3 linked regions of the Oreochromis niloticus genome follow. The protein of the gene in region 3 interacts with the protein of the main gene of each other region in a pairwise test. Links are inferred from orthologs where the notes say so. Each region holds a gene or a part of one and is shown on either strand. Other genes may lie near its edges. The genes, in order: zc3h15, rwdd1 and drg1.

What was found.
Region 1: the proteins of drg1 (region 3) and zc3h15 interact in binary tests that used the Homo sapiens proteins (3 or more experiments, as listed by UniProt). The two-hybrid records come from large-scale screens. The link is inferred for Oreochromis niloticus from reciprocal best matches to the Homo sapiens genes DRG1 and ZC3H15.
Region 2: the proteins of drg1 (region 3) and rwdd1 interact in binary tests that used the Homo sapiens proteins (3 or more experiments, as listed by UniProt). The two-hybrid records come from large-scale screens. The link is inferred for Oreochromis niloticus from reciprocal best matches to the Homo sapiens genes DRG1 and RWDD1.

The regions. Positions count from the first base shown.
Region 1 is NC_031978.2:5,555,628-5,566,443, reverse strand, and holds the start of zc3h15 (zinc finger CCCH domain-containing protein 15), read right to left. Parts: upstream 4,289-10,816; 5' UTR 4,191-4,288; intron 4,116-4,190; 5' UTR 4,100-4,115; coding exon 4,025-4,099; intron 2,313-4,024; coding exon 2,211-2,312; intron 2,039-2,210; coding exon 1,927-2,038; intron 1,826-1,926; coding exon 1,673-1,825; intron 1,090-1,672; coding exon 998-1,089; intron 646-997; coding exon 463-645; intron 1-462. UniProt on the Homo sapiens protein: Protects DRG1 from proteolytic degradation. Stimulates DRG1 GTPase activity likely by increasing the affinity for the potassium ions.
Region 2 is NC_031976.2:1,255,807-1,266,377, forward strand, and holds the start of rwdd1 (RWD domain-containing protein 1), read left to right. Parts: upstream 1-5,797; 5' UTR 5,798-5,932; coding exon 5,933-6,005; intron 6,006-6,872; coding exon 6,873-6,938; intron 6,939-9,548; coding exon 9,549-9,679; intron 9,680-10,571. UniProt on the Homo sapiens protein: Protects DRG2 from proteolytic degradation.
Region 3 is NC_031972.2:23,048,662-23,058,915, forward strand, and holds the start of drg1 (developmentally-regulated GTP-binding protein 1), read right to left. Parts: upstream 4,968-10,254; 5' UTR 4,812-4,967; coding exon 4,773-4,811; intron 3,432-4,772; coding exon 3,308-3,431; intron 3,166-3,307; coding exon 2,990-3,165; intron 2,884-2,989; coding exon 2,814-2,883; intron 826-2,813; coding exon 656-825; intron 1-655. Other genes in the region: kcnn2 (small conductance calcium-activated potassium channel protein 2), read right to left, coding at 8,930-9,205. UniProt on the Homo sapiens protein: Catalyzes the conversion of GTP to GDP through hydrolysis of the gamma-phosphate bond in GTP. Appears to have an intrinsic GTPase activity that is stimulated by ZC3H15/DFRP1 binding likely by increasing the affinity for the potassium ions.

The sequences.
Region 1 (10,816 bases), on a different chromosome or scaffold from region 3:
TTACATAAACTTTTTGTTTTATTTTTATTGCTTTTGTTGTTTGTTTGCTTGGGTTTTGTTTTGCTTCCCAGTTTTGTTTTGTGTTTCCTAATTGCAGCTGTTACTGTAATCTGTATTTCTGCATTGCGGTTCCTGTAACTGTCCTACTTGTGAACATTGCCAAGTACGAGTTGCAATGTTGTAAAGTATAATAAAAATTGAGTTTAAAAAAAAAAAAAAAAAGTTTCACAGTTTCTGTTTGGTTTGGTACATGAATCTCCACACCAGGCTGAGCCAGCCTTTTGAAGATAAGGGAGAAAAGTGCAAAGTTGTCTATGGTAAAAATGGTTTGCACATCAGCAATACCAAAGACAGCAACCTCACTTTTACACCTTCCAGTCCATCTCATTCAATAGTTGAACTCTGTGCTGCTGTTACTCACCTCAAAGGTTCCCTAAAGCACACTGTTGTAGTTATCCTTACCTCACTCTCTATAAGTTCCTCCAACGAGAGCTCTTCCTCTGTCTCCTCCTTCTTCTTGTCTTTTTTCAGTACAAAACCGGGAGGCAGAGCATGCCGGTACATACAATTGTCGCCCCCTGCGGGACACACCCAGAACCAGCCATACTTATTGTTTTCTATGGCCTCCAAGAAGTACTTACACACCTGCAGACAAACAATTGTGAGTTAGCAACAGTAAAGCAGACAAAATCTTGTATTATTATTGGTATTAGTTGACTGAACTGTTAGTGGGACTGTCTTTGACGAATTTTGTTTGGAGCCAAAAGACTCTTGGGAACAAACCGAGTGGAAAAAAGCACATTTTTTTCTTAGATTTGGTTTTCTCTGCTTATTCTTTATCCATCAAACATCCTGAACTCCCTGCATTTCACCTTACCACATAAACAAGTCTGTTTCCCACACTCTCATTAAACCACCTGATGAAAACACAGACGACCAGCAAATATCTAGGTCCTTGTCTTCATTCACTAATTGTTTTTCATAACAACAGACTTACGATTTGTGTTTTGGCTTTCTTCTTCTCAGCTTCTCCGTGTTTTTTGTTGACGACTTCCTCTAGTTTCTTCTCATCCCAGTTCTCCATAGTGTCTGAAAGCAGCACATCACAGTCTTTCAGCATGGGGTATGAATTCAAATCACTGAAGTGCCCAACACCCTCTCCTGTAGCTCATAAAATAGCTCACATTGGCCTTTTTTGTACAAGAATGGGGCTCTAAGACAGTAAGACGTAGCAGAAATTTCAGTTAATTTTCAAAGAAAAAAAAACATGGTAGGCATGATGGACCACCCGTCCAGGTAAAGTCAATAAAGGAGATAAGGCAAAGGCCTGGTTAATTTAATTAAGTGTTCATCACTGAATTTTAAGTCCAGATATCAGTAGTTGAAATTTACTCAGAATGAGGGCTATTTGCATTACAGGGGAAAAACATTGACTATTTTACTCAGGAAAAATAAACAAAGCTGCCATAAGGTAGGCTTAAGTCCCATGTAATCATAACTAAATATCAAATCAAGCTGTTTACATTTTTAGCAGATGGTTGTCTTCTTAATTTATCTGAATAATAGAAAATGATAACATTAGATTTCCTGAGAAATCATGATGCAGATGTTGACATCACGCAGCAATAGACACCCTTTCAATATGTACAAGTTAACTGTGATGTCTACCAACCTTTCTCCAGGTCTTCATCTCTTTCGTCCACATAGACGCTTCTCTTTTCACATTTCCTCTCCATGGATAGATCATGGCTGAACTTGCACTTGTCTCCTTTAGTACACTGACCCTGCTTAAAGAACGCACACAGCACTGACTTTGGATCAACACCTGCAGGAAATAAAGAGAGAAAAAAGATCAATCATCTTTTCTTATCAAATTTAACACATCAAATGATTCATCTCCTGTGTGTGTCACACGCTGTGTGTTACCTTTGCTGACTTTCTGAGCAGCAACTACGGGTTTAAAAAGTTCATTGAGTTCATCCAGCTCTTTCTTCTTATCACTCTTCTTGGTGGTCTTTTCTGCCTCAGCCTGGGCAATCTAAACACGACAAATTCAGCCACATTTAAAGATTATCTTACTTACAAAAGATTTAAGGAAGACAGCAAGTACGGGGAGCAAAAGTAAGAGAAGAATGTTTGGCTTAAGGATTAAGAAGATACACAAGGATGAAGGCAGAAAGAAATACAGAAGGCAAGAACAGTTCGCTAACCTGTCTGGCACTTTGTTGTCCATATTTGACTTGCTGAGTAACATTCTTGATGTACTTCTGCTGCTTGGCCCCTTTTTTGTTCTTTAAGCCAAATGTCTTATCCTACAAAAAAACAAAAAACAAAACAAACAAACAAACACAAAAGCCCAAACACATCTTTATTAATTGTCACTTTTATAATACAATTCCAAACACAAAGCCTGAGTAAGTGTTACATCACTACAACAAGGAGTACAGTGAAATCCACTTGACACATCTGCAATATCAGGCCATGGTTCCATCTTCCATCCACTGCAGAACTACCATACCTAGTTGAAGTGTGCTAGTCAGGTGAAAACTCTAAAGTTTCAAGATTGCTTAAAGAATGAGTGAATTGATTATTTTTGTACATATCACAGCAAAAATTATCACACAACCAAAACCGAGATTGTAGTCTTGGTTCAGTCTTTGGTAGGCTCATTATGCAAAGCATAACCAAAAGTTTGCTTTTATTGCATAGATCCTTTAGAATAATGATGAGGCATCAGTTCTCTTTGGTTCTACTAACAGCAACATGAGGCCAGTGGTCAGTGATTTCAGAGAAACCAAAATTTGTCTCAGCAGACCAAGTCTGTGAAAAGTTAGACTTTCGACAAGGAACAGATCATAAATGCATGTCTAATTCAACAAATACTGACACACTTGTTCAAGATCTGACATACAGCTATGATAAAAATTAGCTCACTAAACATCATTATTCAGGGTAATTTTCACAGCCATTAGAACTGAAGGCTATGGTTGCCCTTCTGCGGCACTGTATCGCTCTGTGTCTAAATGTTTTATAATTGCACTACCTTGCCTGCAGCACTCATCCCAAGTTTCATCTTTATTTAGTTCACGTTCATTCTTTATTAAAAACCCATAGGCCCAATTTATCATCCACCATAACAGTAGGCTTTGATTTTAACAGGTGGTACTGAACCAAGGGTGCAGTGTGTGGCTCATCTGTGTTTAAATAGTTATTTTACCAACAACAAAAGTCACACCTACAGCCTGGCTCAACACCATTTTCTGTTGTAAAATTAAAAACTTTGCAACTGAAAGCAAGAGTTGCTTGTCTGGTGTTAAGGAAACTGAATGATGAAGTTGCATGTTAAAAACTTCGAGCACAAGCTGCGCCCCTTTCAAAATTTACTTGAAATTCCCGCTGCTAAACTTAACCACAACAGAAAACGTGTAAGCGACCGGAAGACGCTGATAATATTAGGTGTTGTGTACGGAAAAAATTAAATACACACAAACTGAGCTTGAAATTACTCATTTTAGCCTGTTTACATCACTGAAACAGACTCAAATGTGTTTCCTGAGCAGTCCTGAGGCCGGTCAGAAAACAGGCCTTTCACTCTGCGCCTTCGTGCTCGTTTGTGTTTAAAACCATGAAGAAAACCTCATAAAACACCACATAAGCCTTGCCATAATGTTTCTAATTCTTACATGAGTCTTCAACAGGGGATATTAACCTTAAAGCAATAACTGTGGGCACTTGCTGATGCGGCGGCACGGCCCTGATAGCAGCTTAGCTTTATCAGTTAGCTACACGCCTTCATCGAGACAGTCAGCTAGCTTTAGGTTAAACTATACCCGAAGAGGCCTTTAGTAGAATACTACTAACTACTTCGAAATATGGACCAAACAATTAGAAAGCACTGACAACTGCCCAGAGGCCAGAACAACTTTACGATTCACCTGTCAGCACTTGCGATAGCCTCGGTTAGCCGTATGCTAGCTTATCAGCTAGGGTTAATCAACGACACGCTAACTCGTGTAACTTTTACCTCAATAATCTTTTCCTTTTTCTTCTCCTGAGTTTTTTTATTTCCCCCGGGCTGGGCGGGTTTCTTCGGAGGCATGCTGGCTCAGGTATAGCTGTGAACAAAATGCGTGAAGCTGTTCAATATCTTTATTATTGGTGATTTTGCAGGGAAGTCAGCTCCACATTACCCGGTTGTTGCTAGCACCGCAACAGCGCCTTCTAGGCCACATGTGAGTTGTTGATGTTCTGTGACGTCAACACGCACCCCGAGAGGCAGGATGGGTACTGTAGTCTGGAGAAAAATCTGAACCAGAATACTTTATTAATCCCTAAGGAAATTATGTAATCCCTAAGGAAATTGCAAAACACGTCTAGTTCAGGGGTGTCAAACATAAGGCTCTTCTTTCTCTTTATTCTTCTTCTTAAGATCATTACGGTGGCGGTGCAGGACATGTATGAAGACATGGTGAGATGGTAAGATGTGTTTAAGGTGCGGGTAGGATTAATTTAGGGATCAGCTCTGAGCCCATTCTTGTTTGCAGTGATCATGGACAGGTTTACAGTTGAGGTCAGGCAGGAGTGTCCATGGACTGCAATGTTTGGAGACAACACTGTGATCTATAGTGAGATTAGGTAGCAGGTTGAAGAGAGTCTGGAGAGGGGGAGTTATGCTCTGGAGAGAAGAGGACTGAAAGTCTGTAAAAGATGTGTGTGGATGACAGGGAGACAGGTGTAACAGTGAAGCTGCAGAGAGCAGATGTAGTGAAGGTAGAATTTAAATACCTGGGGTGAACCATCCAAAGCAAAGTTCACACAGTGTTCACAAACTAGTTGCTTGTCCTCAGTGCTCTTCTGTCATTTCTTTTGTATCAATTTGTATTAAGTCTTTATTTTCCCAGTATGTTTTCTTTTCACCTCCTGCTTTATTTTGTGAGTTTGCTGTTACTCATGCTTTACCTTTGGTTTCACTTCCTGTGTCTCGTCATCTTATGCAGTTAATTTCAGCCGTGTCTCACCATCAGAAACAAGAACAGGCTCAGGGCCTGGGTGTCTGCATCTGGCTCCTACTCACAAGTTTCAGTGTGCATATACTGCAGACTATGATACCGGGTTTGAAGTCATTTGATTGCAGTTATAAGATTTAACCATCTGGTGTCAGTATTGCAATATATGTCAGCTGAAGCAAGAAGCTTCAAGAAGTTAAGAAAAGAGGACCTCACTCATTTAACGGTCAAGTGTAAACAAAATTCAGACATATATTGTTAGAGAGCCCAGAATTATTTGAGAGCACGAACTTTGTGTTTTGGAAAACTAACTGAATAATGAGGAAAACAGATCTGCAGTGTTACAAGTATTGTTGCTGCCTCAAACAACAACCAAAAGATCAAGAAGTGGCTCAACTCATGAGACTTGAGAAGGACCACATGCCTAAATTGGAGTTTGGTTGAATGACTTTGGAGCATTTGATTACACAGGTACTGAGAAATCAGCAGAAAGGAGATGTGTATTTCTATCATAGGCAGTAGATAAAAAAGGTTATTAGAGAGCCACCATCTGGCCAGTGAAAATAAGACTGTTTTATTAGCATTTTACTCTTTTTTTTCACAGTTTGATTAGACCACTAGTCAATTAATTTCAACTTTGGTATGACTTTTACTGGCTGAGTAATGGATCAGCCCCTATCTGCAAAACCTCTGTGGTTTGCTATGAGGAAAATTATAGGAAGCACAAAAAGAAGAGAAAGAGCAGGAACAAAGCTACAGTTGGGTGCGTTTGAAGAAGAAAAGGAAAAAAAGCCCCCCTTTGTAACCAGACGCACGAGACGTGTCATCGCTGCGAGGTGGAGAACTAACCAGCAGGGGTTTTACCGCTTCAGCTGCTGATTCAACTTGATTTAATTAGATTTCACTTAAGTTACTAATGTGATTTCGTTTGGCACATTTGAAATGTGTGGCCTTCATCCACATCGTGCCTCGGTTCATCGGCCACTTCACTGTTCACAACGTGTGTGTGTGCAAATGTGTGTATGTGTCGCACAGGAAACCGAGGCACAGACAAGAGCCAAAATGGGTCACACACGCCTGCTCCTTTTGGGCTCTCATTTGCGCTCATGTCTTTTAATGAGTCCTGGTTTTCAAGGGTAAGGGACAACATTTACTCAGTTTGGGTGCTCTCATAATGGCAGTACTAGTTGTGCACTTTAATGAGTCCCAGAGTGAGACAATGAATTAACTCTAGTAACAGCATCCTTGGCTGAAAATGTGTTATCAAGCCATGTGTTACCAGACATTTCTCTCTGCTCGCATGCTCTGCTGCAACTTTATTTTATTTTATCCAATGCAGAGACTTTTTATTTCTAACACACTTATCATGCATGGCGCTTTTCCACCTTGCAAATATGTGTGCGTCTATGTGTGCGCGAGTGTGTGCATACAATAACCTATATTGACACTACTGCTGACTGCATGGCTGAAGGCTAGATTTTAAGACAACAGAGGCTGGTAATATTGCCTCAAGCAAACTTTCCCTGTGTGTTTCTTTCTCTTGCTCCTCCTTTTTCTTTTTCTCTGAATGTCTTTGTCTCTCTGAGTGGAGTATAATAAATCACTATATCTGCTAGAAGAGCATTTTCCCTATAACCTCCCTCTTCATATTCATACAAACATCGATCCTTTCTGCAGAGGGCATCATGTCACGCACACACACATACACACACACACTCACGCTGAAGCACACACTCGAATGCACTTGAATCCAGAGATGACTGCAGATGGAAAGAAAACATCTCTGGCCTAATTAAGAAAGCACAACAGTCGATCTTCTTCCCGTGGTAGCTGAGAAAACTTGACACTGCGCAACCTGTAACTGTCTCATTTTTTTGAGGCAATAATCAAAAGCATCCTGGTATTCAGGCTGCCTCGGCCTCCTCCTGCTTCCAAGGACAAACTGCAGCACCTTGTCTGTACCGCTAACTTGCTGAGCAGGTCATCGGCTGTCAGCTGCTCCCCATCAAGGTGCTGCACGACACCAGGGGCGAAGAAAAGGGCAGGAACGATAATCTCCAGCCAGGCCCACCCAGGCAACCTCCTGCTCCAAAAGCAAAAACATGTAACTCCACTGTAGATTGGGGAAAAGTGTCCTGCTGCATAAAGACCTTGACCACCCATCACCTCACGGCTTTTTTCTCTGCACACTGCTGAGATACCATCATCCCGCGGTGCTCCCTGCAACCCAGGACTTATTCAGTGCTAAAGTTCCTCTCTTTTTTTTTCTTTTTGGTGTAAAGCACATTCCCCTCAACCTGCCTTGTCTACATTTACTTCATAAGATGGTTTCTTACATTTCTGACAGTCCCAAGAGAACAGATGTGAACTTGTTGTATTTAGCTTTATGCTCTGTGTTCAGGTAATAACCAATAGCAGTAGCAGGAGTGATAGCGAGAGACGGTGCTTTTTTTTATCTGGGAAAAGGAGAGAATCATATCCTTTTACTGATAACACAACTCGTCTGCTGCATGCATTGTACTCCGGTCCCTTGAGGCTACTGTCGGTGGAGAGATTGCTGTGTATTCCTGCTCTCGTGGTGGATTTCTTTCTCACCGTGTGAGAGTTGAAAGTCGGTGCAAAATGAAGAGTCTAGAAAGGAGCGCTTTGCTCGCTAATCCCAAGGGACTGACACCAAAACAGGATGTTTAGCTTACTGTTGATGTTTCAGATAACTGAAGAATGTGGGACTCCAATGCTTTTAAGTTTCAATATCAGTGTAGCTACACTGGAAATATCTGGAGTGATCTATGGAAAAACAGAACACCAAACAAGAAGATGGGCTCGAAACATTTGAGATATTTACCAGTAGCTATTTTTAAAACATGTTAAACTATTTTCAGCAGGATTTTTCTCTAACTAGCTGTCCCATTATTCACTCACTGCTGGAAAAATACTCAGGCTTCTTCTCACAATTGGATAAAGTTGTTTGTAAACCTATTACTGTCAGTCATAAGTGCTACCACCAATTCATTTTAGCAGAAGCACCAGTTTTAGGTTTTCAGTATTTTGGCTATTGACTCCCTGCAGGGTTTTATCATCTCATGCTTGCCTGTGTGGCATAAAACTGTTGGTTGTTTTTGTGATTTTACTCGTTCCTACATTTTATTGCATTCCTTCTGTGCCTTTTTATTGTGTATTCCTATTTCATTATTTTATTGTTAACTCCATCTGCAAACCATATTCATCTCAGGGGACAATAAATATTGAATTGAACCGCACTCAGTCGTTCACGGAAGATTGGAAGGTGGGGGTTTACTGCCTGATAACTGGAAACATGAATGAATGAGTGAGAACATTGATGGGGAAAGTCAAAGCATTAGACAGAGTAGTGTTCCCGGCTTTAAACCATAGCACATGATCTGGAAAAAACTGAAAGAAATCAGATAAGAAGTCATTAAAGTGCTCACAAAATGAAAATGATCGTGTTTAGGATTTGGAGCTGAGCTTGAAATCCACCACCTGAGAAACATCTCAAGAAAAGTTTAACTTTAGAAGTTTAAACTTCATCCTCAAACTTAATTTGATGTCTTTGTAGGTCTTTAAGTAAATGCTACAATATCCTCAATTACACATGAACAAAAAATACTGTCTTACTGTCACAGTCTTCCAGGTGTGGCACCTGCCTGTCTCTCTTTGTCTCTCCTGTCTGTGTGACTGGGGGCTTTGAGTTAACCAGTCTCTTTCAGTGCTGAGCATGGTGTCAGAAAACCTGGGGCAGGCACACCAGTGTTTAAAGCTGGCTTCCACCACCACCTGTTGCCAGATTTTAAACCTATGCATGCTTTAGCATGGCTCAGGTGGTTTATTACTCTGCTTGCTTACCTGCTTGTTTGTATCCTCATGGACCTTGTACTTGCCTGCCCACCTCCTCCTTTTTCTCAGGGAACCTGCTGGAGAGCGTGCCTCACCTGCTCTCACTGCCCTTGCTGCTGTAACATCTCTACTCTGAGGACTCAAATATTGGAAACCTTAGCCTGAGGAAAGAGAGGAAAACTGCAGTAACAGTGTTTGCCCCCTGCCTAAAGTATACTTACCTGCTTATTTAGAAACTTGTCCAAGTCCCCTGCAGCTTGCGAATGATCAACTTACCAGAAAGATTACTTACCTAATCTGTTTCACTGTTTACCTGCAAGTATTCCCCGCTGTTGTTGCTCAGAGAATTGCTCATTAAAACTACTAAACTTTTTCAGTGTTCTGCATTTGAGGTTTAAATCCTTCTGGATAACATTACCACTTACTGGTCACACATTACACACATCATTAGAATGATGACATAATAATAATGCTTCAGAGGGTGTAGTAACAAGGTTTGTTTCAGCACTGCCTCTGTGCAGGAAGTTCATACATAACCATCAAAACTTAGGGCACCTGCAAGAGTTATTTGCACTCACATTCAAGACATCATTTGGTTCCATCACTGCAGGAAAGATCTATGTTAAGCAATTTGTTAATCCCTTAAAAAAGACAGCTTCATGTGAAATTTAAATAATTTCGTTTTGTCGTCATTTTTAAAAATAATATGAGCGCAGATATTAGCCCTTTCTTCTCATCTCCCATCAAATGTTTAGCCAAAACGGGGGTGAGATGTGACTTGGAAGAAATGGAAATTTAACACCCACAACAGGGCAAACTCCAGCTGCTGCTGAAGTTGGACGCAATTCACCTTATGGGGATTAAATAATGAAAAAAACGTCGGCATGCACTGAAAATGAACGGGGTGTGTAGATATTACAAAATGTTTCACACATGTGAACGGATAATGTGGGATTAGTTTTAATCAGCCACCACTCAATACTGTACATCATCTCATAGATTAAACCTATTTAACAGATAACTAAATGTCTTCACAAAAAGTTAATATTTTCATATCACAACTCAGCAACTGTTTTGTAAAGAATATAAAAAATCAAGAGAAGAAGTCACACAATAAAAACTCAGATTATTATAGCAGAATGTTCAGAGATTACAAACTCCCAGAGATAATTAGACTTCAAATAAAAAATGAAGACTTTCATTCCAAAATTAGATATCTGCCACTTGGCAAAAAAAAAAAAAAAAAATATATATATATATATATATATTCCACCTACCAGCAGATGATTGCTGGCAGTAAAGCTCAGCACTATTATAGTTAGGAGTCGGGTCACGTTTGCTCGGCGAATTGTTACAAGTTAAGGACTTAATAAACTGTGTTTCTGAAATATTAACAGATGAAATTCAGACAGTAAGGACAAATTTATTGCAGCTTGAAATGAAACCTGTAAATCACTTTCAGTTCCATGAGTGAGGCTCTTGTTATTGCCAATAAAACAATACAGATGAACATTTCACCTGCTGCCAGTCACAGCTTGTCGAAGCCTTGCAGGCATGCTTGCGTTTTAATATTCTTTTGTTTATATTAAAACAACATGGAGGATAATTTACACGCATAAACTGTTTAAACTTGGAATAAATAAAGGAAGCGATGCTCTTCTGGAGTCCAGTCACGTCTTGTGTGAGAAGCATGCAGCTCAACTCCAACTATTTTGATTAGAGTTGAAATGAACTCCGTGTTAATGATCTGAGCGTTTCAGTTAAGATTTGCAATCAGCTAAATGGCTCAATTTAGAACAACTGAAATAAACCAAATAATTAATTTGGAAATGTTCGGAAAGAGCTAAAAGATTAATTTCTGAGAGTGGCAAAGAAGTAAATGATTTATCTGGGAAGAAGTGGAAGGAGCTTAATGTTGAATGGAAGCAAGTGATTCATTCAAAGGAGTTGGTCCT
Region 2 (10,571 bases), on a different chromosome or scaffold from region 3:
CCCCTTTCCCTGTTAATGCCCTACCTGGACCCCTGGCAACACTTTGCTAGACCCGCCCTGCACAGTTACCAGCTGTCAGCTACGTAGAAAAGGATCCTGGTGTTATTTGTCTCTCAGAAACAGTTCATAACTTCCCTTCAACTCATTCATGTCACCTAAAGGTAAACCTGTTTCTCCATCACCTGTTCAGCTCTGATGATTCAGTAAGGACATCTCCTGGTTTCATCTGCATGTTTCCCTCTCACCAGATAACCAAACCGATATCATGACCAGCAGCTTTACAGCTGTGGCTCCAGCAAACATCAGCTGATACTAGAAATTAATATTAAATAAATTCTAACAACAGCTGATCAAGCTTAAACGTGCTGCTGTTGTTTAACGCGACATCCGCTGGTTTCCTCTTTCTGGCGCAAAGTGGGCGATAAATAAACAAGAGAGAAAAGCTGATCAGCTGATCACTGATCAGTTTCGTGATTGAAGTAGAAACGGGAGAGGAGAGAATGAGAGAAGAAGAGGCAGCTGTGCAGCTTCAGCTTTGTGTCTTTTTCATTGTAGCTGAAGTCCGGGACAAACTGTGTTCCTTTTCACCTCAATACGAAACGCGTAATATTTTCTCTGAATACCAGACGATTCTGTTTTTTACGGGACGGTTGGCAACTCTAATAATTAACCGTATGAACAAAATAAAGTTCAACATCAGTAACACATAGCACCCACACAGCTGTATAGAAACTCCGTCATGCTAGCTACCACGCAGTACGAAAATGTCAGCATACCGAAAATAAACTCCACCTAAACTTGGTTTATATCTGACTCAGATAGACTGCAGGTCATAACTTCTTACCTGAAGTTCAGTTCACCTGACACGCGGACCGGCGGCCGCTTCGGGTCTCTCCTCTTGCCTCCCTTTTCCTTCATCCACCTGCTGGCCTCCACCACTTGCTAATGTTATTGAATCTGTGGAAGCTCCGCGATATCCACCACACGGAGTAACGAGCCTATCTAAATCCCAGTAACGAGTAACGCGTTCCTGGTTTTGGCATAATAACTAGTTACCGTGCTCGTTACCACAATAATAACGTAGTTACTGTAACGCGTTACTTAATAACGCGTTAGTCCCAACACTGCTTACGAACTGGTTTGGTGACTTTGACCAGGGGCCTGTGGGAACCCATGGCACACCTAGGTTTCTGCCTGTAGTACTGACCCTTATGCAAAATAGGTGGAATTAAGACACAGTTCCAAAAGCAAACACAGCTGATCAGTGCTGAGAGTGGTCCTGTTGCTGAGGTTGGGGTGATCCTGTAATCTCTTACGAACTACCTCCAACGCTTCTATGACTGGGATGCAAGTGAAGACAGATGTAACATCTCTCTCTCACTGTACATGTACTGTTTATAAAATTAGGGAAACATAACCTGCACAAACAAAATAATTTGCAGGACAAATGTTTGACATCAATTTTGTTCGATTTGAAGAAGGTAGGGGGGCCAACTTCACTCACATGTGTTTATAAGATCTGGGAAACCTGCAGTCAGCTGAGACTGAAGAAGTCACTTGGATGAGTGACGAAACGTTTCTCCAACTGAAAATGTCCAGATGAACAGAATCAACCTTTTGGGATTTACTTACCTGGACGATTAAGCACGCATCAAGACGTTATTTTATTAAAATTTTTAAAATGATAGCAGCACAAACAAAAATTTTTGCAGCACAAACGTTTAACATCAATTTTGTTTGATTTGGGTAATGTGGGGGGGCTGGTTGACCTTTTGACTTTTACCTTTTCATTAATATCTTTAAAACAGAAGCAGCACAAACAACAATTTTAGCAGCACAAACGTAGCACAACTGATTGACACCCATTTTGTTTGATTTAATTAATGTGGGGGGGCTGGTTGACCTCTGATGACCTCTAGAAATTTTTATTAATATCTTTAAAATGATAGTAGCACAAACGAAAATTTTTGCAGCACAAACCAGCACGAATGTAGCACAAACGTTTAATACCACTTTTGTTGGATTTGAAGAAGGTGGGGGGGCCAACTTCACTCACATCTGCAGCGGTACTGCCGGCGGACAGACTCGACATTCCCAGCGAGCTGAGGAAGAAAAGACGGGGGTGTCGTGCTGGGAAGGAGCGCCGTCGCCCGAGAAGGAGACGTTATCGACCATCTCTTCCTTCTGTAATTATTGGAAACGTAAGATCTTTGCCCAATAAGATGGATGAGCTCACGTCGCTAACCTGGTCACAGAGGGAGTACCGGCAATGTAGCATCATGATGCTAACAGAGTCGTGGCTAACATCGCTAACTCCGGACACGAGCGTGACACTACCGGGATTCCAGCTGCTGCGAGCGGACAGGACGAGAGAGAGCGGTAAGAGGAAAGGAGGGGGACTGGCAGTGTTTGTGAATGACAGATGGTGTAACCCCGGGAACATCACTGTAAAAGAACAACTCTGCAGCAGAGACATTGAGCTGTTAGCCGTTAACATGCGTCCGTACTACCTGCCCCGGGAATTCTCGCATGTTATCGCGATAACAGCGTATGTCCCCCCCTCGGCCAACGCGGATGCAGCCTGTGACTCTCTCCACTCTGTGGTCAGCAGACTGCAAACACAATCTCCGAGAGCCCTTCTCATAATATCAGGGGACTTCAATCATGCCTCACTGGACTCCACACTGCCCACCTTCACCCAGTATGTGACCTGCCCAACCAGAGACAATAAAACAGTGGACTTACTGTATGCCAATGCTGAAGAGGCATACAGTTCATCAGCTCTCCCTCCCCTGGGCAGATCTGATCATAACCTGGTGCACCTCGTCCCTGTGTATGAGCCCTTAGTGCGCAGGGAGCCACCAGCCACCCGCACAGTGCAGAGATGGTCGGAGGAGAGCGAGGAGGCTCTTAAGGATTGTTTTGAGTCCACTGTGTGGGAGGTGATCTGTGACGACCACGGAGAGGACATCGACAGCCTTACTACATGCATTACTGACTATATTAATTTCTGTGTGGATAACACCGTACCTACCAGGACTGTACGGTGTTTCTCCAACAACAAACCCTGGATTACCCCAGAAATTAAAGCTGTCCTCAAGCAGAAGAGGAGGGCCTTCAAATCCAGAGACAAAGAGGAGTTGAAAAGGGTGCAGAGAAAGCTGAGGGGACTGATAAGGAATGGGAAGGACAGCTACAGGCAGAAGATGGAGAACCAGCTTCAGCAAAATAACGTTGGTGAAGTCTGGAGAGGCCTCAGAACCATCTCAGGCCACAAACATCAGAACTCTCTGCCTGGGAGGGATGTGAGGTGGGCAAATGAACTGAATCATTTCTTCAACAGATTTGATTCATCCATGAGGCAGTCTCCAACATCGGCTGCAGACTCACCCACCCCCACTGCTGCTGTTCCACCTCTGACACCTCAGACACTTCACACCTCCTCTACTCACCCTGCTCACTCCTCCCCACCCCCAACAACAGCATCCAATACACACTCAACACAAGGCTCCAGCCTGTCTCTCTCAACCACCCAGGTTAGGAGGGAACTGAGGAGGATTAAAGCCAAGAAGGCAGCGGGTCCAGATGGCATCAGCTCGAGGGTCGTCAGGTCCTGCGCAGACCAACTGTGTGGGGTGATGGAGCACCTCTTCAACCTGAGCCTGAGGCTGGGGAGAGTCCCACAGCTCTGGAAAACCTCCTGTGTTGTACCAGTGCCAAAGACTTCACGCCCCAAGGACCTCAACAGCTACAGGCCGGTGGCTCTGACATCCCACCTGATGAAGACCCTGGAGCGGCTGGTCCTGGCTCAGCTTCGGCGCCTTGTGAGCTCATCACTGGACCCACTTCAGTTTGCCTACCAGCCTGGCATTGGAGCGGATGATGCCGTCATTCACCTCCTACATCGTTCCCTCGCTCACCTGGAGACCGCTGGAAGCACTGTGAGAATCCTGTTCTTTGATTTCTCCAGTGCCTTCAACACTATTCTTCCCTCGGTTCTGAAGGACAAGCTGGAGAACTCTGGAGTGGACCATCACCTCACTACCTGGATTCTGGACTACCTCACCGACCGACCACAGTATGTGAGGACTCAGGGCTGTGTGTCGGACAGGGTCGTCTGCAGTACGGGGGCCCCACAGGGAACGGTTCTGGCTCCGTTCCTCTTCACCATCTACACTGCAGACTTCTCCCACAACTCCACCCAGTGCTTCCTGCAGAAGTTCTCTGATGACTCTGCAATAGTCGGCCTCATCACTGATGGGGACGACAAGGAGTACAGAGGACTGACTCAGGACTTTGTGGACTGGTGCCAGCTGAACTACCTCCAGATCAACGCCAGTAAAACCAAGGAGCTGGTGGTAGACTTCCGCAGGCACAAACATCCTCCACTGCAACCACTGAACATCCAAGGTATGGACATCGAGGCTGTGGACAGCTACAGGTACCTTGGTGTTCATCTGAACAACAAACTGGACTGGACTCATAACTCAGACGCCCTCTACAGGAAAGGGCAGAGCAGGCTGTACCTGCTGCGGAGACTCAGGTCGTTTGGAGTGGAGGGCCCACTCCTGAAGACCTTCTATGACTCTGTGGTGGCCTCAGCCATCTTTTATGGTGTGGTCTGCTGGGGCGGCAGCATCTCTGCTGGGGACAGGAAGAGACTGAACAGGCTGATCCGAAGGGCCAGCTCTGTTCTAGGATGCCCTCTGGACCCAGTGGAGGTGGTGAGTGACAGGAGAATGGTGGCTAAGCTGTCATCCCTGTTGGACAACATCTCCCACCCCATGCAGGAGACTGTGACAGCACTGAGCAGCTCCTTCAGTGGCTGCGGCACCCACGGTGTGGGACGGAGAGACTTCGCAGGTCTTTCCTCCCCACTGCTGTCAGACTCTACAACAAAGACTTTAACTGATCAAACACACACATCCACACATGTGCAATAACACTAATGTGCAATAATCTTTTTCTGGCATCGTTGTATTTTTACTCAGTTGTATATAGCAGTTGCATTCTATTTTTATCTTATTGTATATTTTATTCTATTTATTCTACTGTATATAGTATTTTATTTTATTCTATTCTGTACAGTTGTGTACAGTATTTTATTCTTATTGTATTCTAATTTTGCTATATAACTTTTGCACTGTCCACTTTCTGCTGTGACAAAACAAATTTCCCACGTGTGGGACTAATAAAGGTTATCTTATCTTATCTTATCTTATCTTATCTTATCTTATCACTTTTTGGCACCTGAGAAATCCTGTAGCCTTCCTGAAAAAGGACAAAACTGTCCACTGCCATTATGTGAAAAACGTCTGGGTGATAAAAATAAATAAATAAATACCAACAAAAGTGCAAAACAAGATTTGGTAATTTGACTGGTTCTTATATAGCTTATATAGATTCTTATATCTCAAAGTGCTTTGTACAACGTGCCTCATTCACCCATTCAGACAAACACTTTGGATACACCAATGGATGAATTGCAGATTGGTGGACTGAAGGTTCATGTGTTGAAGAGCAACTTGGAGTCAGTATGTTGCCCAAGGATACAGGAAAAGGGAGAACATCCCTGTTAGTAAAACGGTTCGTTTCCCTTATCTATTTATCTATTTGTTTGTTTTCCTCTAAATGATAATCGATAAACGAGCCGATTTTTTTTCTCATTCATAAAGAAAAATCGCAAACACACGGACGCAAGTTTTTCTCTTGTTCTTGCGTCGAGCGTGTGATCTACATAAGTCCAGAAGGTGGCGGTAATGTACGTTCAAAGCTGGTTTGCTAACCCCGCTAAACCCGAAAAGAAGAAGAAGAAGGAGAAGCGGCGGATCGTCGAGATAATCGATCGACTGTTTCAGCTGAGTACGCAGCACACAGCGAACGTATTGGTGATGATTTTACGAACTTCCAGATAACCTGTAGCTACACAAACATGACAGACTACGCCGAAGAGCAGCGGAATGAACTCGAAGCCATCGAGTCCATCTACCCAGACTCCTTTACAGGTCTGAATGGCACGTAACGTTAAGTAGGATTATAGCACGAAAGTAGCAGCTAGCTCATAGCTAGCAAGTACACGTTACTTAGCTTGCTGGTTTTGGTGCATGCTCAATGATCCAGGTAAGTAAATCCCAGAAGGTTGATTCTGTTCATCTGGACGTTTTCAGTGGGAGAAACGTTTCATCCAGGGGACTTGTTCGGTCTCAGCTGACGGCAGGTTTCCAACCTTAAATAGGACATTTGTACAATGACTGAAACTTTTCACGTGAAAAGAGAAAGACCATCTCTGAATCGAAGAGGGGGCCTAAGGGTACACCTGTCTCCATCTTACAATGCTGTGATTGCAGCCATTCCCCAACTCTCTGTGAATGGGACTCATGGTCAGTGATCAGTGGTTGTTGATCAATGGTCATGAGAATTTGCAGAACTGACCTCACAGCCCATTGTTATTCAGCGGTGCTAGTTTCAGTCATTGTACAAATGTACTGTTTATAAGATTGGAAGCCTGCAGTCAGCTGAGACTGAAGAAGTTGGATGAGTGACGAAATCTTTCTGCCACTGAAAACGTCCAGATGAAGAGCATCAACTTTTTGGGATTAGCTTGCTGGTGTTCTTGTATTTGTGAAAGGATACTCATATTAATGTTAAATACTAATACTATTTCTATTAGCACTCGGTAGCTGTTGGGAAAAGCAAACATTGTTATGCTTGCCTGAAGTCTTTATTGTTATTGGTATACAAATCTTTATTATTTCTAAATGTGAATACTGACAAAGAGAAGAGATTGGGTAACTAAGGCATATTTGAAGATTTTACCAATCAGTTATGAAATCATAGTAGTAGTGATGTTGCTAATGAGTGTGTACTTGCAGTGCTCTCAGAAGATCCCACCAGCTTCACCATCACGGTCACATCCGATGCCGGGGAGAACGGGGAAAGTAAGTAAACTGATGAATGTGGTTGGAAAACAGTGTTTTGGTAATAGCTAGCACTGCAGCTGTTATTATGTCGGGTGTTTTAAACTGAACTGCTCATTGGTTTCCAGGGCGCACTGTGGAACACTTTATTATATGTTATGTGTAGGTCGTGTCTTGTTATATCCTGTATGTTACCTAAATGTTGTGCATCTGCACTTTATTGTTGTCTATGTCTACGCATGGGACAGTGTGAAACGTAATTTCAATTCCTTTGTATGGCAAGTACATCTGAAGAAATTGACAAATAAAACTGACTTTGACTTTGACTTTATAGAATGTGTGTGTGTGTATATATATATATGCATGCGTACATTTATAGCATATATTTAAAAGCAACTTAACATTTGAAGTGGATCACGATAATAGGACAGTATTGTGAAACCTCTGGTGTGAAATCTATTAACACTGAGCCCATTCAGGACTACACTCTCACAGCAGTTGAAAGAACCAGGTCAGAAGGAACACTGGTCCCAGTGATACTGCTTTGCTTCTAAGGATGTTCCCCTGCATGGCCGCAAGATCAGTGGATCAGCTTTAACTGGCCTGTAACTGTTCACTTCTTCCTTTGCCTTCCTAGTTGATGTTTCCTGTGATGCTGTGGTTTTGGTGAGTAGGCTTGCCGAAGCATAGCCATTAATGCAGAGTCCTTTGGCCTCTTAATTGGGAGGAGCATCATCCATTTCAACACAACCAGAGACAGACACAGTTCCTCTGTCACCATCAAACTCTTGCTGTTGAAAGTAGGGCTGCCACAAACCATCATTTTGGTAGGCGAACTAGTCGCCGATTATTTTTGCGACTAGTCGACTATTAAATTAGCCGTTTATGATTTTGATAGTCGACTAATCGTGGCAGGCCTAGTTGAAAGATGAAAAAATTATTTAAATTTATTTGCAAAATAATTTTGAACTCACCAGAGAATTGAAAATATTAGTATTGCTGATGGAAGGAAATGATTATTTGGGGTTAATTTCAAGCTTTTCATCTGCTTCTGTCATGATGGTTCGTGTGCAGCCAGGTCACTTAACTCGCGCGTGGCTACCTCATGTTAACTGATTGGAAGTTTCGACCAATTCCATGTACATGCTGAAACAGGAATATTATACCATTAAAGACCTGGGTGACCTCGGCTTCTAAATGTAGATAAAACTTCGGTTATTGAAGTCAGCCCTATAACCAGTAATCAGATACTTAGTATTACCTTGGCCTCCAGTAACACTGTGATATTTCCTCTACTTTTAAGATTAGGCTTCAAACTTTTCCTTTCTGCTAAAGCATATAGTTAGGGCTGGACCAGGTGACCCTGAATCCTCCCTTAGTTACGCTGCAATAGGTGTAGGCTGCTGGTCGCTTCACATAAGCCCATAAAACTACTTGGATCAACTCAGCACAGTTTCCAGGGCTTTCTATTAGCACAGTACTTGGTACCAGCAGGTACTTTTTAGTACCTGCTCCGCTGGGATTCCAAGTGATCCAGACCGGTGCTAAATTGTGACATCGTCAGACTGCATGCCACCGATTGGCTGGTCAGTAGCGTCACTCGATGAATAATGAGAGCATCTTGTTCACGATAAAATCAAAACTGCCAGGAAACGGCTACAAAAACCGACGCCGGGGGGAGGGTGATGAAAAGCTCCCGACAGAGCAGCAGGTATATATTCACTTCAACATCCACCTTTGTTGTAGCGTTCGTGTCGCATATTAATTACCTCGCAGGACGAGCAGACACGTTGCTATGACGACAAGCACACCAGCAAGGTACTACTGGGTTGTAATGGAAAACCAGTTGAGTGGCGCTGATCCATAGCGAGTCAACCCAAGTGGGTACTAAGGGAAAAGGGGCCATAATGCACTGGGCAGTTCTTTTTAACTATGTCTTTATGCACTATTCATTAGTTAGTAGTAATCCAGATCTCTTCCACAGCGTGTCTTTGGCCCATCTTCTTCCTGTGGCAGATGGCCGCCGCTCCCTGAGCCTGGTTCTGCTGGAGGTTTCTTTTAACAGGAAGAAACCTCCAGCAGAACAGCTTTTCCTTCCCACTGTCACTGAGGCACTTGCTCATAGAGGGCCTGTGTCCCTGAAGGACCTGACACACGTTCACGTTCAGTGTTCTTTATTTGCTTCCACACTGTGTTTGTGTCTGTTTCACATTGCTTCAGCACATTGCAGTACTCCCAACTCCGACTGCTGCAGCCGCTCCTCCCTCCTCTCCGGCCCGGCCGCTACTGAAATAGTGAAGGGGAGGGTCTTAGTAACACAGCAAAGGCCACTTTAATGTACCCCACTCAGGGGCTCCAGGAACGCTGGGTAGACTGCATCGTTGATTGAGAAGCACGAATAACAGGACCCGTTACGTGACCAGAATGAAAGAAATCCTCCCGTCCACTAGTGAAAACCCCACTATGCAGGCACTAAGCTGGGGGGATACATGTGTATCCACCCTGTTTGACTTTACATGTAGTGAATAAAGAATAAATGAAAGTTTTATCTTTAGTTAAATAATAAAAAGAACTTTTTCATTTTGCACTCGTAAAGTTGTGGAACATGAACTGTCTGTTGTCTTTTTGCAGCTGTGGAAACAACTTTAAAGTTTACGTATGTAGACAAGTACCCAGACGAGCCCCCGCTGTGGGAAATCTATTCCCAGGAGAACTTGGAGGAGAGTGACACAGAAGATATCCTCACACTGTTACAACAGCAGGTCTGTCATTGGATTTATCTGGGCAGTCGTGGGTCTGGTGCTGGTTGAGGGCTAATTAGTGGCTTCTAGATCTTTCCAGATGCTTAGATGGAAGCCCAGTGCCTTGGATGACAGCTTCACTGCTGTGTGTCTACATTTGTGATTTAGATGAAGCTCAAACCTCATTAAGAGGAATCTGTGAAGAAATGGAAGAAATCCTGCTGAATCTTAAAGCTCCAGACTTTTAGAAACAACATTTGTACAGCTGGTCCATGGGCACGACTAAAGCAACATTTTAATGAAATATGATTCAGTCTGCATATTAATAACAGTGTATGTTCATTGAACTGTTCAGTGAAGCATGTCAGACATGCAGCGAGATGGAGACAACTTTAAAAGTTTACAAAGTGTTTAAAAGGATTGATAAATGTATTATTTTTATCAATATAATTCAGAGTATCAGATTGATGTAAGCTTTATACAGGGCATACACGAGCAGTCAGGAGTTTGGACATGACCTCTTATTTAATGGTTTTTCTTTATTTTTATGACTATTTACATTGTAGATTCACACTGAAGGCATCAAAACTATGAACACATGTGGAATTATGTAGTAAACAGAAAGTGTAGAATACCATAATGCTGTTTTCCAACAGTCTTGAAGGAGTTCCCACAGATGCTGAGCACTTGTTGGCCCTTGTGCCTTCACTCTGCGCTCCATCTCATCCCAGACCATCTCAGTTGGCTTTAGGTCAGGTGACTGTGGAGGCCAGGCCACGGTGCAGCACTCCATTGCTCATATATCTGATGTCTTCGTGTTGTATCTACAATGTCCAAAGTAGTAAAAATAAAGAAAAACCATTGAATGAGAAGCTGTGTCCAAACTTTTCATAGATTTGTCTGTGACAGTCAA
Region 3 (10,254 bases):
TGCATGTAGGTGGATGACTTAAAGTAACACAAAAAAGCAAGAAAATAGTCATTAAAAAAGTCACACAATTTAAACATCTGTATTAATAAATTATTACATATTAGAGTCAGCAATACAATAAACATTGATATGTTCTAATCCATGTGGCATCACTACCCATTTCTGCATCTAAATGCTCTAAATGCAAGAGTGGCAGCTCTCCAAGGTGTTACAATAAACTGCAAAATATGAAAAACATTCAGCTCTGGACATAAACGAAAAAGGGAAAATTAAATGCCACCTTTGTTTGTTTGATTAGAGAAAATGGGATAGCTGACATTCTGCTACCTCATGATGAGTTACAGAACTACTGTTGGCCTGACATTAGTGCAGGTATGATGTAGCAAGAGGGTTAAACTGTTCTCAAAAGTACAGATAGACACAAATGCCGGACGGGAAGATAAACACCAAAAAAGGACAAAACATCAGACAAAAAAATGTCTGGGACTGTGGGATTTTAAAAACTTAGCTTGGAGAACATATTACACTTGAATGTAGAGGCTGAGAATGACAAGTAAGTAAGGTTTTAAGTATCAGTGTAATTATTCACTTTAATTCTAAAGTGAAAACTGTAAGTGCGAAGTTTCATTTACTGTGTTTATTATATGAAACGTACTGTAGCAGTAAAGTTGATGCCTCCTTTGTCCTTTTTCTTGAAACCGATGTTTGGTGGTTGCTTGTTAAGCCGAATGCCGAAGCCTTCCAGCTCATGTTCTATTAGCTTCTTATGAAGAAGAGGCTTCAACACATCGAGCACTATCAGAATCAGATTGCAGGTTCGAGCCACTGTGAGAGAGCGGAAAAAGAAACAATAACATCAGTCAGAGATGTGTAAAAAGAAATCCCAGGTGAAGTACACCTGTTCAGCTGCTCGTTAATGCAAATATGTAATCAGCCAATCACAAGGCAATATTTAGACATATAGCCAGGTAGGTCATATGGGTCAAGACGACTTGATGAAGTTCAAACTTGAGCTTCAGAACGGGGGTAAAAAGGCGATTTAAGTGACTTTGGTTTTTGATGCAGGACGAGCTGGTCTACATTTCAGAAAAAGCTTTCAGGATCTACAGAGAATTGTCTGAAAAAGGGAAAATATCCAGAGTGCGCTGTGAGGAGTGCTTTTTATGGAAACCAAATGACCACTCCATAAACACATGGCACAATACAGGAGGGAAAGCTCAACAGAACAAGACAAATGAACTTAAAGGAGAAAACACATTTTTGAGGATGCCAGTGTTCACATTTTGGACCAAGAACACAGACGGTTTGAGAGATGAGTAAAGAAGTCCATCTATATCCACTGTGAATTTCTGTCACCAAACAGAGGTGGTGGGTGTGACACGAGTTATCAGCCACCTACAATGCAATTTTGAGAAACCTTCCCAAGTATTTCAACACCCACTCTCACCTTGCCTCAGGTGACCTCGATAGCTCATATGAGGTACAAAAAATGTCTTTACAAACCTAAAGAAATCTAGTTACCTTCTTTTCAAGCACTTAAGACTACCATGACCTGTATGACTGAAAATCTACATAGACCACTGAGCATTATTTAAAATGTCACAGCCTACCTAGGTATTGTTGCAGCAGGATAGCACACCAGGTCACAAATCACCTTAAAACAGATTTTGTAAACATGACATTAAGCTGTCAGCAGCAGCTGATAAATCTGCAGCAACTGTGTCACGTTATCATGTAAATATCTGAGGAATGTTTCCAGCACCTTGTTGAATCTGTGCTACATAGAATGAAGATTCAAGATTCAAAGTGTTTATTGTCATGTGTCACAAGAGAAAAAGGCATTTCTCTGTGCAATGAAATTCTTTCTTTGTTTTTCACCTACAGATGCTGATTAATATATACAATAGAAATAGAACATATAAATACACATAGCACAAATAAATAAATGAAGACAGAAAGGGAGACAAAATATGGAGATTTGAAACAGAGATGTGTGCAAAAGAGCTAAAGAGCAAACGCAGTTCTAATGGAAGTACCACAACCTGGTACAAGGAAAGTGTAACTAATAAATTGTCCAGTGAGTGGATAAAGTTGAGGTTCACTGCCTGCCCATAATGGTCAAAAGAAATCTTTGAGCAGGCTTGCACTTTTTGATGCCAGAGAAAATGTAACAGTAATGAAGTGGAAAAGTTTCAAAATGTGCGTGCATACACGATATAAGTGTGCCATGGGAAGAAGGCAGTGATGAGGCTCATGAAAGGAAGAGCTTAAAATACCAAGACTTTATCAAAGAGTGTAGAGTGAAAGGGTGGCAACTATGTCTGTTTCCTCTAGAAGTGGAATCCCAGTACAGTCACTGTAAATGGCACTCACTACACTCAGAGTTTCAGAAAATGAGCGGAAGACAGCTGTATGCAGGATTGTGGAAGCAGCAGAAAGAGCCTCTTATGGGCTCTGGTATAAAAGGGAGGTGTAGGGTTGGAAGTGTGGAGGTGGTGGGCAGGCCATCGCTGCTGACATGCCAGATGGAGGGTGTTGCAGTTAAGGGTTGAAATGCCAGGTTAAGCCTGGGCATGACATCAGCTCCAGGCCGAAGGCCACAGTCAATCTGTAGAGCACCAGCGGTTGTGTTTTAAGCAAACTTTAGATAAACAATGTGAATCATTGTCTCACTGAAAATCTACAAATACAACATCTTATGATTTAATCTGTCTATAAATATATACGGGAGAAAACTAAATTCCAGTAGCACTATTAGTTGTGCTGCCATTATATTTCCCTCTAAGCAGATTCCACTGTGATCAAATCATTACCTGCGATGACCTGTCGGCCTCTGCCCTTTCCATCCTTGGCGCCCTCAATGATTCCCGGGAGATCCAGGAGCTGAAAAAGGAAGTAGTAAGGAAAAGAAAAATATAAGCAAATAACTTAAACCTTACCACAGCATGAACACTATTAGAGATTTTGAAGAAAGCAGAAACTCTTGTACCTGAATTTTAGCACCTTTATACCGAATGACTCCAGGTACTGTTGTTAGAGTGGTGAACTCGTAGGCAGCAACCTCAGAGTATACACCTGCAAGGTTACTTAGCAGTGTAGACTTTCCTACTGAAGGAAAGCCTACAAAGCCAACACGAGCATCACCGGTTTTCGCTACATCAAAACCTAAAAGTTGGAGGAGACATATATATATATACATAAAAAAAAAAATCAAATATGCATTAGAATTCTTTGCCGGGCAAAAATAAATAAATATTTAAAATAAAACTTTGGTAACATCATTAGGACACAAGTATCCTGATCTCACCTTCTCCTGTCCCACCACCGCTGCCTCCTTTAGGTGTGATGAGTTCCCTTCTGAGTTTGGCAAGACGTGCTTTGAGCAGACCCAAGTGGTGAGCTGTGGCCTTGTTCTTCTGCGTCCTGGCCATCTACAGTGAACAATAACATCAGTCTGCGTGAGAACTTTCTAAAAAGCATTAAGTACGCAGTTTTCACTGAATGCACTCAGGTACACCCATGGTGAAACTTAAAACAAAATAGACTTATCCTTTACAATTGAAAGTTTAATTTTGCCCATCTGGATTTACTGTAATGTCAGTGCAGTAACAACGCTATAAACCTGTTCCCATTCTTTCATGTTGTACAGTTTTTACTTTATCCATCCATCCATCCATCCATTTTTTTTAACATTAATTAACAGATATTCATTCATTTTATTTAATAACCTTAGTTTTTCTGTCCATTTGATAAATAATGCAGTTTAAAGCATTTAAGGTGGGAGGAAACATTTTTAATATGCAGGAAAAGTCCTGGCCAAGATCAACACAGCTGTGTTTCTCTGCACAATACAATGTACACCTAGTGCTGGTCTCAAGTTAGGGATAAATGGGTAGGTTGTGACAGGGAGGACGTCCGGTGTAAAGTCTTTGCCAAATCAAACATGTTAGCTAGAAATGTTATTAGTGATTTACGAGAACTGCTACCGGTACAACTGACCAGCAGGGTGGCTGCTAATGGCCAAAGACTGAGAAAGAATAGTAGGGGGAAGGCATGTTTGGAGGCAGCAAAATAGAAGGCAAGATGTTAAATGTAGGAATTATGGCTGGTAAAGTGAGAGACATGGCTGACAAAGGAAAGGATGTTCAAGATGGATCTGTCAGGCAGGAAGATAAGAGGAAGACCACAGAGAAGACAGATGGAAGCAATGATCTGCTGTGGCAACCCTTAAAGAAGACACTGAAACAAGTACTCTTTGCACTGCAACCTGGAGGGTTTCCTTTTACTGCCTCTGACAATACAGTAAAGTTTCCATAAAAATCTAAAACATTCGGTTTAATTTAAAGCAAGTACCCCTGCTGGTATGAACTCGCATGTTCAAATTTGAGGCTTCCTCAATACAACAGACGGCACACCATACAAAGATCATAATATATGGATACGTGCGGATTAAAAGACAGCACTGCCGTCTTAAATTAACTTGTATTGGACAGTTAAAGTGTACACGTTGCGTAAAGGCGAGCTTGTTACCACCATCAACCTGCACTAGCACATCCGTTATACTGTCTTATATGATTAGTAATGGATTCACAAGTTCACTGATTGGGTAAAGCAACTTCATAGGGACTTTGTGGTGAAAAGGGAAAAAACTGAGTTAGAAATATTGAGAGTAAAACAAAGCCCGGCTGTAATATTGTTGCTAACGCTAACAGTTTGTAGCAAGCTTAAACGTGACTGTCAGCGGGTTAGCCCACCCGCTGCTTCCATCTTACCTCATTTTCAATTTCTGCTATTTTGGCAAGTATACTCATGGTGACGGTGTTCCCCGTGTACAATTGACGTTACCGGTTGAAACTAAAAAGGTTTTACATGGAAGTTGGCAAAGTTATTGGGGTACTTTAGCATGCACGCCACACAAACGCGGTTGTGCGGTTTTTCGAGGGAAATCTCGCGAGAACTCGGACAGAAGCGGGGCATGATACCCGGTGCATTGACCAATAACAGCCCGCGTTGACTCACAGGTTGCTCACGGGACAAAAAAGAGAAACGCAAACGCAGCATGAGCTTCCAGAAGGGCAAATGCTTCATTTGCGAATCAGGAGCATGGAATTTAGTACAACTAAAATTGCAAATTAAAAAATATAAACACAAATACTGCCCCCTGAGTCCAGCTTTCATATAGCCTGCTATATGGATAATGGAAAATTCCATTATTTATTTGGAAAGGTTGCACTTCACTGGATATCAGAAAAAAAAACGTTTAGTTAACTTGTTTGATAAATCCCAGATAGCTTTTCGAGGAAAAAAATCTTTGCATCAAAAGGTACAATTAAGCTACTAAACACAATATTTTATTAAGAATTAATGTAGGCCTGTGTGCCTGATGAGCATTGGCTTGTACTTTTATCAAGTTTCGGATGTTTCTGAGTTGTGAGGAGACATCGTCGTTCTAAATTGATTTAAATAACCGTTTTACGCTGTAAAACATCAGATTGAATCAGTTTCTAGCTGAGAATGTACCACCGGACTGCGTTACTGTTGTCATGCAAAAGTTATACACCTGTACCTAAAATACTGCATGACTACATTTACTCAGGTAGGATAGTGCGCTTTGATTTCTTTTGCGTTTTTAATGAAATAATCCATAAGTTAAATATTAGAAGTTTTATAAAACAAAACCATTTAACTACACATGAACTAAATTACCGACATTACCGTCTCCTAAATTAGGGTTATGAATAAAAACACCTCTACAGAAGAAAATCTTGATGAAAAAATAAGCTCATGGGCCACTTCATTGAGTACACCTCAGTGGTACGAGGTGAGAATACCCTTTGCCTTTAGAACAGCCTTAATTCTTCGTGACACAGATTAAAAGATACGCCGGAAACATTCCTCAGAGATTTTGGTTCATGTTGACATGATCACACAGTTGCTGCAGATTTTGCAGCTGCACAACCCTTTATGAGAATCCCCCATTCTGCCACATCCCAAAGGTGCTCTACTGGATTGAGATCAGGTGGCACCGGAGGCCATTTGAGTACAGTCAACTCATTATCAATCAGTTTGAGATGATGTGGACTTTGTGACATCACGTGTAATCCCGTTGAAAGCAGCCATCAGAAGATAGACACGCTGTGATCATACTGAAGACCGACCGATATATCGGCACTGCTGATATTATGAGTTATGTTATGAGTGGTAATGTTATCAGTGTTCATGCTGCATAGTTTGTCCACCAGAGGGCACTTTTAAACGTCTCTGCTGGCACAAACACAGCAGATCTAAGTAGAGTCAGGCAGAGCATAATCGAGTAATCCAGGAGTTGTTGTGACAATATAATATGATTATTTTTAAACTGAATTGGAAGGACTCATAAATAACATAACAGATATTATGGAAATATGTTTATATTTCATGTGTCATGTTTCATTTCACCCATCAACCCGTCTGGCGCCAACAACCATGCCGTGTTCAAAGTCACTTAAATCACCTTTCTTCCAAATTCTGATCCTCCGTGTGAACTTCAGCAGGTTGTCTTGGCCATATCTACCTGCCTAAATGGACTGCCATGTGATGTGTATCATATTTAATACATGAGTTTTTGTGTTATTTATGAGCTGTTGAAAAGGTGTACCAACAAAGCATCCAGTGAGCGTATAACTGCATATAAAGTCAAAGCTGAATGCACACAAAGTATTGCAAACTGATGATTCGGTAAGATTAATATAATATTACATTTGTTGAATAGTAATTACATTTATTCAGGTAGAAGTTTAGATACTGTATTTGGATTTCTGGTGTGTAATTGTAAAATTGTTGCATGTTAACTTTTAACAAATAATCAATTCTACAATTCTGCTTCTAAATAAGAAAAATCTTAGAACTTTGTTATATACTCAGGGACTATCCCTTTACTTTTGCCAACACAATGGCAACTCTGGCTATATCAAATAATCTAATTTATGTCATAGCGAACCTTTTACTTTAGAAGATTTATAAAGTCTGTGGTGCACTTTACCTGGAGTGTACATACTGATGACCACATTGTTTACAACACTGGTTATTCTTTCTACAAAAGCACATAAGATACAAACCCACATTTAAATGCACACAAAAAGGATGGAGACCAGTGAAATTGTATATTTTTATTGTTTAATTCTTTATCGTTTAAGTCGCATACAGTATAGTCTGTCATTGGTTTCTATGCTGCTAAAGTTTGTGGACTGAACATCTGTGTTTTGTCAACTGTCTGATTGATTTATTGTTTAATGAGTGAGCTGGTTGAACAAAACCTGTGATGGATCTCCTCTGACCCATGCGATGCTCTGTGAACCTTGGAATGGCTGTTTTAAAAATACACAACCATTATGGTCGTATACTGAGTAATAATGCATAAAAGGGTATGTTGGACACATCAGAAGATTTCACAGTTCATATGTAGCTAGAGTGCATTAATGACCAAAGTGGATATATGAATGAAATCAGAATATATGTTAAATCAATTGTGGACCGTAACATTTCCAAGTGTAATAAATGCCAATCACATTTACCAGCCCTGCTCTTCCAGCTCATCCAACCAGTATCATCCAAAGCATATGCTGTAAATGATAGATGGAGTGTGAAGAATACCACAGTTTTTAAATCACACTATTTGTTAATTATGTTCAGAAAAGAGTCTCACAGACAGTTTTATGTATCTTAACTCCAGTCCAAGATATCCTTACCGTGTGCTAGTTACGCTGAATCTGCCTCTTAATCGATCCCACGTTGTTGTTTGTTTAGTTTTAAGAGGTGTGCTTCTCCTCATTAAAGTATATAAAAATAGGCATTTACTTTTTAAAAGGTAGATATGGTTACGGTTTTGTTGTTCAGCATTTGTTGTTGCCCAGCTGGGATGGCAGCAAGCATAAATAGCACAGGCAAAAGGAAAAAAAAAAGACGGGAGGTGAGACACAGCGAGACAGGGGGTTAATTAGTAAATATATGATCACTCAGTAAGTTTCTAAAGACCTCTGCAGGTCTAAGATGATGCTTCTTTGTGAGAAACAGAAAGGGGGCTTTGATTTGAATCATTAACACTAGCCACAACTCGATAATTGACAATAATAAACCCATGCCCGAACATTTAAAATGTTCTTCTTTTAATGAGCAACGTATCTTTATATCATATCTTAGTCAGCATTGAAGTGCATTGATTAAAAAGTAAGTGCAAGTACAGGTTCTGATGCATTCATTTTTACTAGAGGATTAAATTATTTGCAACGTGGCCCCCCAAAAATAGTCATTCTACAGGGGCACTCTGCAAAGGAAAACCACTATAGTTGATGCTGTTTCTAACCTAAAAGATATATGCTGTTTTCCTCATTTCAAGCTTTTAAAGTTATCTCTGAGTGACAGTGTGTAGGAGCGATTTTCATCTGGCTTCTGCTGTCAGTTCACTCCAGTCCGTAAACCGTAGTACTTTTCCTCAATATCACTGCCATGCTCCCTGACTGATTTCTCAGTGGTTTCTCGGTTTCCTTTGAGGAACACAGAGACTGAATCAAGCCAGCAGAAGCACAAAGTCTGTGAGAAGCACTATTTTAGTGCAATAGTTTCACACTTGGTAACCCTGCTACCTAAAACTGGCTACCTGTGCATAGAGATGGAGAAGAGTTCTTATCATAGCCCCATCGATAGGCCTTTTAGTTGTTACTGAGGGAAGCGCCATTATTTTTATGTCACCAGAGCAAGGATAACAACATCTTTTGAGGTAATAAAAAATAAATAACAGCATGAAGTTATCCATTAAAATGTATTGTCCCCAGTATCTTGGATTCTGTCATCAGAATTTGGATAATACTTATTGAAACCATAAGGCTTTACGATAAATGCAACTTGGCCATATGATGGCAAAAGTCTCCAGTGGAGGCGTTCCCCCTGGACTCTAGCTGCTCTCCGAGGAGGTGGGCGGTGCCGTGGAGGACGACCTCCGTCGGGACACTGACTGTGAGCGCTCAGGGCTGTGTTTGTCATAAGGCTGGAGCTGCACCTCCAGGAAGTCCCTGTGCTGCTGGCTGATGACCTGGCTGATGAGTCCGGGCAAAGCTTGCAAGTTACTCAGTAGAGTCTCCAGCTTCGTCTCCAGCAGGGCAATCCTTTTCTCCATGTCCTCCCCTCTCTCATTCAGGTCTGATACCATGTCATACATGATGTTCTGAGTCTGGAACAGGAGAGATAAAACACGCTTATTGATATCATTTTCAAACCGATGTTACTTTTGATGGACCACCAGAAAATTTATTATAGATTAAAAATAAAATAGGGAAAATGCATTTTTATCACTTCAAGATGCACTGATAGTTCTGAAAAGAGAAGAAAGAAAACTGGTTACAAGAGGCTACGAGTGCTAAAGATTCACTGTTCAAACACATCAAAGTCAAAGTAAAGAATGACTTTAAAATAATAAATGGATGTATATCTATTTGTACGTCTGTCTGAAAACAATACTCACATTCTGCCTGCAATTTCAATGTCAGCAATCGTGAATGAACATCAAAGGCGCTATGCTGTGTAAAAGTGCAATAAAAGTTCAGCTAATATGATGCTTCCACAGTCTGAGTCAGCTCAATAAAGCTCACAGTTTCAGATGTTACAGGATTTTTTCACTGTATTGCACAATATTTGATTATTAAACCAAGATAAAAGGAAGAAAAAAGTCACTATCAAATTCAAGGTATTTTAGGATTTCCTATTTCTCTTAAATAACAACAAAAATGTTCATGACTGAGTGCAGTAATGACACGGATACACTCAATGGCCACTTTGTTAGGTACACCTGCTCCACTGCTTGTTAATGCAAACTTCTAATCAGCCAATCTCATGGCACGTCTAACATGGTGAAGATGACCTGCCAAAGTTCAAAGTCAATATCAGAATGTGAAAGAAAGGTGGTGCTAGAGGTCAGAGGAGAATGGCCAGACTGCTTTGAGTTGATAGGATGGCAACGGGAAGTCAAACAACTCCTCGTTACAGCTAAGGTATGCAGAAAAGCATCTCTGAATGAACAGTATATTGATGGGCTACAGCAGAAGACCACACTAGGTGCCACTTCTGTCAGCTAAGAACAGGAAACGGAGCTACAATTTACTTGTAATGGTGTCGGGGATATTTTCTTGATACATTTTGGCCCCTTAGTACCAAATAAGCATTTAAATGCCAGAGCCTAACTGAATGTTGCTGCGGATCTTGTCCATCTCTTTATGCCCTTTA